Linked DNA regions of Arabidopsis thaliana. The protein of the gene in region 1 interacts with the protein of each later gene in a pairwise test. Each region holds a gene or a part of one and is shown in the gene's direction. Other genes may lie near its edges.

What was found. The genes of interacting proteins can lie anywhere in the genome.
Region 2: the proteins of BFT (region 1) and FD interact in a two-hybrid assay, tested with the Arabidopsis thaliana proteins (one study listed by BioGRID).

Annotation. Positions count from the first base shown.
Region 1 is NC_003076.8:24,920,875-24,924,312, forward strand, and holds BFT (PEBP (phosphatidylethanolamine-binding protein) family protein), read left to right. Parts: upstream 1-1,927; 5' UTR 1,928-1,935; coding exon 1,936-2,136; intron 2,137-2,239; coding exon 2,240-2,301; intron 2,302-2,388; coding exon 2,389-2,429; intron 2,430-2,590; exon of another isoform or gene 2,591-2,605; coding exon 2,606-2,835; 3' UTR 2,836-2,923; downstream 2,924-3,438. Other genes in the region: OXA1 (inner membrane OXA1-like protein), read right to left, coding at 3,188-3,438. UniProt on the Arabidopsis thaliana protein: May form complexes with phosphorylated ligands by interfering with kinases and their effectors.
Region 2 is NC_003075.7:17,002,529-17,006,846, forward strand, and holds FD (Basic-leucine zipper (bZIP) transcription factor family protein), read left to right. Parts: upstream 1-1,993; 5' UTR 1,994-2,217; coding exon 2,218-2,925; coding exon of another isoform or gene 2,926-2,952; exon of another isoform or gene 2,953-3,060; coding exon 3,061-3,138; intron 3,139-3,352; coding exon 3,353-3,424; 3' UTR 3,425-3,780; downstream 3,781-4,318. UniProt on the Arabidopsis thaliana protein: Transcription factor required for the transition to flowering promoted by FT.

The DNA of each region.
Region 1 (3,438 bases):
AATTTAGAAGAAGAAAACTAAGATGTAAACATGATTCATGAAAGTTTGTGATGAAAAAGAGAATAAGTTTCAGCTGATTTTAGAACTAGTACCTCTACTATGAATGAATTAATGAGTTTAACCGATTTACACTGAATGTCAAAATGAAAAGGAGAATATGGTCGTACACTGACAAAATAAAAGAGGGAAAAGATATGGTCGTACACTGATACTGATAGTATCGGATCATACGTCAATAAGGGATAAGATATTATTAGGTTCCCACACTTGGACATCATCTCTTTATTTGTTTCGTTGAAAAAAATAATGTTCTAATTTTATCGGATCTCCTCAACAAAATATCACTCCAATTCCACCACCTCTCTGTCCCCTGTCCTCTTTTTTTTCTTTTTGCCTATTGAAAAAGTCACCTTAATTTTTCTTGTGGCATAATTTTTCTTGGACCATAGAGATATTCATAAAAGAAAGAAAAGAAAAGATTGTTCACAATGCCACCTTTCTGTATATAATTCACTACGAAGAAACAACATTTGGCATTTGACAAACCATCAAGCAGCAACTATGGATTCTCTAGAGAATCTCGCATGCAAATATCAATGTGTCCCCTAGATTTTATTTTCTTCTTCTTTTTTTTTTTTTTCTTTTTTTTTTTGTATAGTTTGGTCAAATTCGAACATGTGACATGTTTAGTAATTTATGATCCGATGTTGTCTTGAATTTACGAAATCCCTACGTGTGTGTGTCTTAAGTCGAAATTTACATGTTAGTAAGAAGCTCCTAGTTTTGACTCCAAATATCTCCAAGTTCCAACGACACGAAGAAACTTTTTATAACTGAGTTTGGCTAAAAGCTAATATGTTACTATGTTAGCACCAATTAACCATCGACGTGTTAGATTCTATTCAGACAAAATTTTAGTCACTTTTTTTTGTATCGTCAACTGGAATCTATGTCTTTTTTAATTTCGTAGTAATGTTTGCGTTGACTGTTTAGCTAAGAAAGTAAGAGCGTATAGTTTTCTATTTTCTCATGTAAATTTGTTGGTTTCTGATTAGTTCTCAGTAGAGTAAAGTGTCTTCAAGAAAATGAAAGTGTTGATGATTGCTAGAGAACAAATATGTCTCTCTATTCAACGATAATGGTTATAAGACGGATCAACAAAATGGCTACAGAAACAAGCATTTAAAATTAATAAGGTGCACTGTATTTGGGACACGTATTGAATTGAGCATGATGAGAAACTCATGTTGATTCTGTGACTAGAAACTATAAAGTGTCTAATTAGATTCTTTGTCTTTGTAAAGCAGATTCCATTCTTTTTATTGTTTTATCTCTTCTTCATATTTGGAATATCTACAAATCAATTCCTAAGCCAATCATCACAGTATCTGGTTTTTATTTTTTTATCGACACGCGGGCTTATTCTTTTCTCCATTTGGTCGATCGAATATTCGAATGTAATGGGGACAATAGTTATTGAGTTTTAATAAATACGAAACGTGAAGATAATTTTGCAATAGATAATTGATCTGTTATCTATACATGTGAGTTTTTTTTTTTTTTTTTTTTTTTTTTGTTATGTGCATACACGGAAGTATTTTTTAAAATAGGTAACAAAATAAACATGTAATTTCTAACCATATAGAATAGGTAACAAATTACAATAATTGAAGTAATATGGTTAGAAATTACATGTCAGATATATACATACAATATCTAAAGATGACAAATGTCAAATAGTAAAATAATAGAGCATTTATGGAAGACTATCTAATTCAGTATAGTAGATATATACATACATACAAAATACAATCTATCTCTCACTTTGTGCCAAGTCCCGAGATTCTTTAGAAAGCCTATATAAAGCTATCACATGTTTTCATTCTAACGAAATCAGCATCAATCACAAACGCAAACACATTGGAGCAAAGAAAAATGTCAAGAGAAATAGAGCCACTAATAGTGGGAAGAGTGATAGGAGATGTACTCGAAATGTTTAATCCAAGTGTGACAATGAGAGTCACTTTCAATTCCAACACAATCGTATCCAATGGTCACGAGCTCGCGCCTTCTCTTCTCCTCTCTAAGCCTCGCGTTGAGATCGGTGGCCAAGATCTTCGTTCCTTCTTCACCTTAGTACGTAATTAGCTTTCTTCTAAACTTAAAATACATATGTTAAGTACCTTATTTAGTTCTCTCTTGTAGCATTAATCTTGTGGTTTTCTTTTTAACTCGAAAGATCATGATGGACCCCGATGCCCCGAGTCCTAGTAATCCTTATATGCGTGAATATCTGCATTGGTAAGTCGATTGAAGATATCACATTACTTCTCATATATTACAACAACAATGTATAATATGTATTCTTTATGTTCTCATCAAATTCAGGATGGTGACAGATATTCCCGGGACAACCGATGCTTCTTTTGGTAAGAATACATCACATCATAACACATTTACATAGACTTTTTCACCCACCACATCTTTGGTTGTAAACACATTCCCAAGCAAACACATTTTTGGAAGAGGAAGAGAAATAGGGATGTATGTATGTATGTATGTATGTTGATGAAGATAAGATCATGAATGGATTTATTGATTGCAGGGAGAGAGATAGTGAGATATGAGACGCCTAAACCGGTGGCGGGAATACACAGATACGTCTTTGCGCTATTCAAACAGAGAGGGAGGCAAGCTGTGAAGGCAGCGCCGGAAACTAGAGAGTGTTTCAACACAAACGCTTTCTCTTCTTACTTTGGTCTTTCTCAACCTGTTGCTGCTGTTTACTTCAACGCCCAACGTGAAACTGCTCCTCGACGACGTCCTTCTTATTAACTCTATCTATTATAACTCTGCTCTATAAACAATAAACTTCAACATAGCTACAAAGATTATGGATGCTTGTGCTGAATAAATCCAACCATTACCAAGATGTTCAAAAAGATCCAATGTTGTTCAAGTTCTGTTACTTAACAAGATAAAAAAGTATATGTTATCCAAAATGTTTCTATAAAAACAATCTTCTATTCTATAATTGGTCAAAACAAACTTACAATAGCTGCCTCCAGCTTTTTAGCTCACAGAGTAGTTTCATCAGTGAGAAAATTCTGTGTTCACTTTCGACTCAAAAGCTTTATTATTTTTTTCGTTTGGCCCTCTTAACAAAAATAGTATGCACCGTTTTAAATCACTTCTTCTTGCTGCTATTCTTCTTCCTTCCCTTTACTTGGCTCTCCAAAGCCTTGAGCCTCTTACTAACAGGACTCAGCGATGTTGAGGAAAGCCTCGGGTTTACTGGCGAAGGTGGTTCTATCTGGTTCTGTGTATGGTCCTGTGTCATGGCTTTCATTTTCTTGAGAGCTGAAAACAGGTCAAATGAAGGTTGTTGACCTGGAGGAGGTGGAGGCAGATCAGGTATGCGTAACATCTTCTTCACTT
Region 2 (4,318 bases), on another chromosome or scaffold:
ATTTTATATAACTTGCTAAAACAGAATTTGTTTCCATTTATATGCATTGTTTAAAAGTAAACTAAAGAGGATATTAAAAGACAGAGAAATAGATTTGATGGAGTTTGGGACAGAGCAATATAGTGCTGACACCTGTCCAATCCCCTGAGACGTGACATGTCACACTCCTTTCTTATACAACTTACAAGTTCTCTGCACAATTTTATGATACAATGGACATTTGAATTCACTCGTTACAGACTATACCCCAACTTTATTTTGAGTTTATTTTGCAAAAATGATTTGAGACTGGGAAAATTTGTTTTATTTTCGTCAATGAATATGCGTAGTGACGTCGATACTAACAAAAGTACTACTCTTTACATTCGAATTTTTGGTGGTTGCGAAACGACAACAAAGATCTATGAAATTTGTGTTTCACATTAAAAACTCAAAATGTATTTTGAAACCCAATGTTTGGAAACATGTAAACAAATTAAAGTCTTTGTACTTTTCACCAACAAATGGAAAATATATATCTTCTAACAAATATGAGTATTTGAGGAGCTTGCATTTTCGATAAACAGCTCCTAATGTAGTACTCTTTGCATGTTCAAAAGATGGGACGTTTCCTTGAGGGCTGATTTCAACATTCAGAGAAAAAAAATTATATACATGTACGGAAATGAATAGTTAATCTTGTTGAATAGAATAAGAGAAGAGGAAAGAAAAACAAATATCGTATGTTATTATAGTTTATATATAATCAACTTGCAATAAAGGAAAAATTTGAAAAGCGTGACTAGATATGCACTTGGAGACTGACTTACATAGTAGATACGATAATCGAATATCTAGATATCTGGATGGTACTCATATTATTTGTTTATTACGTATGATCAAAGATTTATTAATATGTATCATCTTCTACTTGGCTTAATTATTAACTAGTTTAGTATTCGTCTCTAATCTTCAAAACAATCAACATAAATATCTAAACTATATTGGTCATATAAAATCTAATACTTTACTATCCACTTGTAATGTTTGTTTTGTTCAGAGTTGGAGACCCACATAAATTGATTTCCCTATCCGTATTGTAAAACAGACTATTGACACTTTGATCAAATCTCGTTGGATGACATGAACACCAATGATTTGAAGTGGGGAACAATTCAATAGTTAACAATATTTTTGTTATTTAAATGCATTTCAACTATACGGTCGATATTATTTGAAATGTTTGCAACTACATATTTAAGAAAACGTTAAGTGCAAATGACCCGTTCTTAAACACTCCGAATCTCATATAAAATAAAGTTTTTTTGTACTAATCAAACATATAATTTTCAGACTTTTAGTTTTGATAGAAACAAATTACATATACGAACACCCAAGTACTACTTTTTATATTCGATAATATTATTCTATCTTCGTTTAAAATATATTAACCACATCAAGAAAAGAGGAATGAAATATTCTAACGGAATTAATGTTTGCTGCCAAAAACAAAAAAAAAACAGAAGAAATTTTTACATTTGAGTTTATTGGTATAGTAGTTAGGATTTTGTGTTTTATTATATATTTAAACGAATTTATTTAATTATTTCTAATACAGAAAGATGTATATATTCTTATCTACTTTCATTTTGTTTTTAATGTTTTATTTCGTCAATACCCTTAGGGGAAAAAAGTGTATTTTGGCAAATTTTCCTTAAATCTAAGAGCAAGAACAAAAATTAAAGTCACACATGAAAGTTGAAAGTGATCCAAAGGGATTTGATATTAGAAAATAGAAAGTGAGATAAAACCAAAAATAATTTTATATATTTGCCTGGCTTTTTACAAGCATCTCACCCCCACTCACTCTTTACATTTAAGGATGATGAAAAATACTTCACTTTTGAAATAATCAAACACCATTTTTAATCTTTATAATAACTCTGACGTTGAAGACATCAACAAACACCTTTAATTACATATAATAGTTTATGGAATTTCTCTTCTTCTTCTTGAAATATATTATTTAATTGGAAATAGTTCAATCCCTCTGTCTCTTCTTCTGGAGTCTTGGACCCAACCCCATCATTCCAGAAATGACCGGCTAAAGTCAAGAACCTCTCTCTGAGCTCTCACCACTTTCTCTCTCTACTCCCTCTCTGCGTGTAGGATACTACTAGACAATTGACAACCAAAGACTAAAGCTGTGTTGTTGGTTCACTTCTGTTCTCTTTTCCAATGTTGTCATCAGCTAAGCATCAGAGAAACCATAGACTCTCTGCTACAAACAAGAACCAGACTCTCACCAAAGTTTCTTCCATTTCATCCTCATCACCATCGTCTTCTTCTTCATCATCATCAACCTCATCATCATCTCCTTTACCTTCTCAAGACTCTCAAGCCCAGAAGAGATCTCTTGTCACCATGGAAGAAGTTTGGAATGACATCAACCTTGCTTCCATCCACCACCTAAACCGACACAGCCCTCATCCACAACACAACCACGAGCCAAGGTTCAGGGGCCAAAACCACCACAACCAAAACCCTAACTCAATCTTCCAAGATTTTCTCAAAGGATCTTTGAACCAGGAACCAGCACCCACAAGCCAGACCACGGGTTCTGCGCCTAATGGCGATTCCACCACGGTCACTGTTCTTTACAGCTCTCCTTTTCCACCTCCTGCAACTGTTCTGAGCTTGAATTCCGGCGCTGGCTTCGAGTTTCTCGATAACCAAGATCCTCTTGTTACCTCAAACTCTAATCTTCATACCCACCATCACCTCTCAAACGCTCATGCCTTCAACACCTCTTTCGAGGCTCTGGTTCCATCCAGTTCTTTTGGTAAGAAAAGAGGCCAAGATTCCAATGAAGGTTCAGGGAATAGAAGACATAAGCGTATGATCAAGAACAGAGAATCTGCAGCTCGTTCCCGCGCTAGGAAACAGGAATGTGCCTCTCCTCTTCCCTCCTAATCTTCTTCTACTCATGTGTATCAAAAAGGGAAGAAAAGAAATGTGGTTTTGCCATCAAATTGCTTTTGATCTAAAAAAAGGTCTCTTGGTTTTGATTCTCATTTGCAGGCTTATACAAACGAGTTAGAACTTGAAGTTGCTCACTTGCAGGCAGAAAATGCAAGACTCAAGAGACAACAAGATCAGGTAAACAAGCAGAGCCAAGTTCTTAATGTTTTACCCTTTTGTAGCACTCATGTCATTAGATCAATTCCTTGTAGTTTAACCAACTTATAAAAAGAGACAGACAGACAGCCTCTGGAGTATATTTGTTTTACACACTTTTTTGTCCAATGACATTTTGGGTGGTTAGATTCTGATACTTCAGTTGTGTGTTTATTATGTGTGTGTGTGTGTGCAGTTAAAAATGGCTGCAGCAATTCAGCAACCCAAAAAGAACACACTTCAACGGTCTTCCACAGCTCCATTTTGAGAAATCTACAAGTCCTTGTTTCTCTTTTGGGGATTGAGATTGTCTCATGAAGAAGTGAAAAAATGGCAAAAGTTTGTACCCTTTTTTATTAGCTATAAGTATAACTAAGCCTAAAATTGTAGAACTAAGATATTGTAGGGGAAAAAAGAAGATGTAAAACAAAAGACCCGGAAAGAGAAAAGGATCTTTCAATTTCCTAAGGCACAGGAACACCTGTCCTGGGTCCTCTCTTAATGTTCTGTCGTTTTCCTATGCAAACCCTTTTTTCACTTCTGTACTAACTTCTACTTGTATTCTTGTTGTAGTAATGTTCTACTTCCTCTTCTAATACTAGTAAGAAAAAAAACCTTATGTTTTACTGTTTAACCAATTTGGTTCTTAAAAGAAGCAAAGGATCAAATGACCAATAGACAAAACAGTGCTCCACTTAAATGATGACAATACCAGAGAAAAGTGAGAAGGGGACCTATCACTGAACATTTAATTTTCTCCCTATCACATTATCACATAAATATCCAATCCTTTGGCTGTCTACCATACAAGCCAACAACTTGCAATATGATTTTGAAACCTCCAAGCCAATGGGAATTAAGTTCACCACTTTTCGGGTTGGTCAAGAGAGAACATGATAAGTTTCTTATTCAGCATGGTCACTCCCCACGTTTTATTTATATTCATAGTACATAGTATTGTAGCTTTTGCTCTAACTGGTCACCATCAAAAACACTAGGTGTGTTTGTATTCATTTGGTTTATCAAGAGAATAGTTTTTATCTTCTTTTGGCCCAATTTCATTTACCTGACAGTGATAAGTCTTGTTGATCCACTTTTGGTTGTTGATATATTGCTGTGTATTCTTTTAAGCAACCAAAAGTGGACATCAAGAGCTAATATG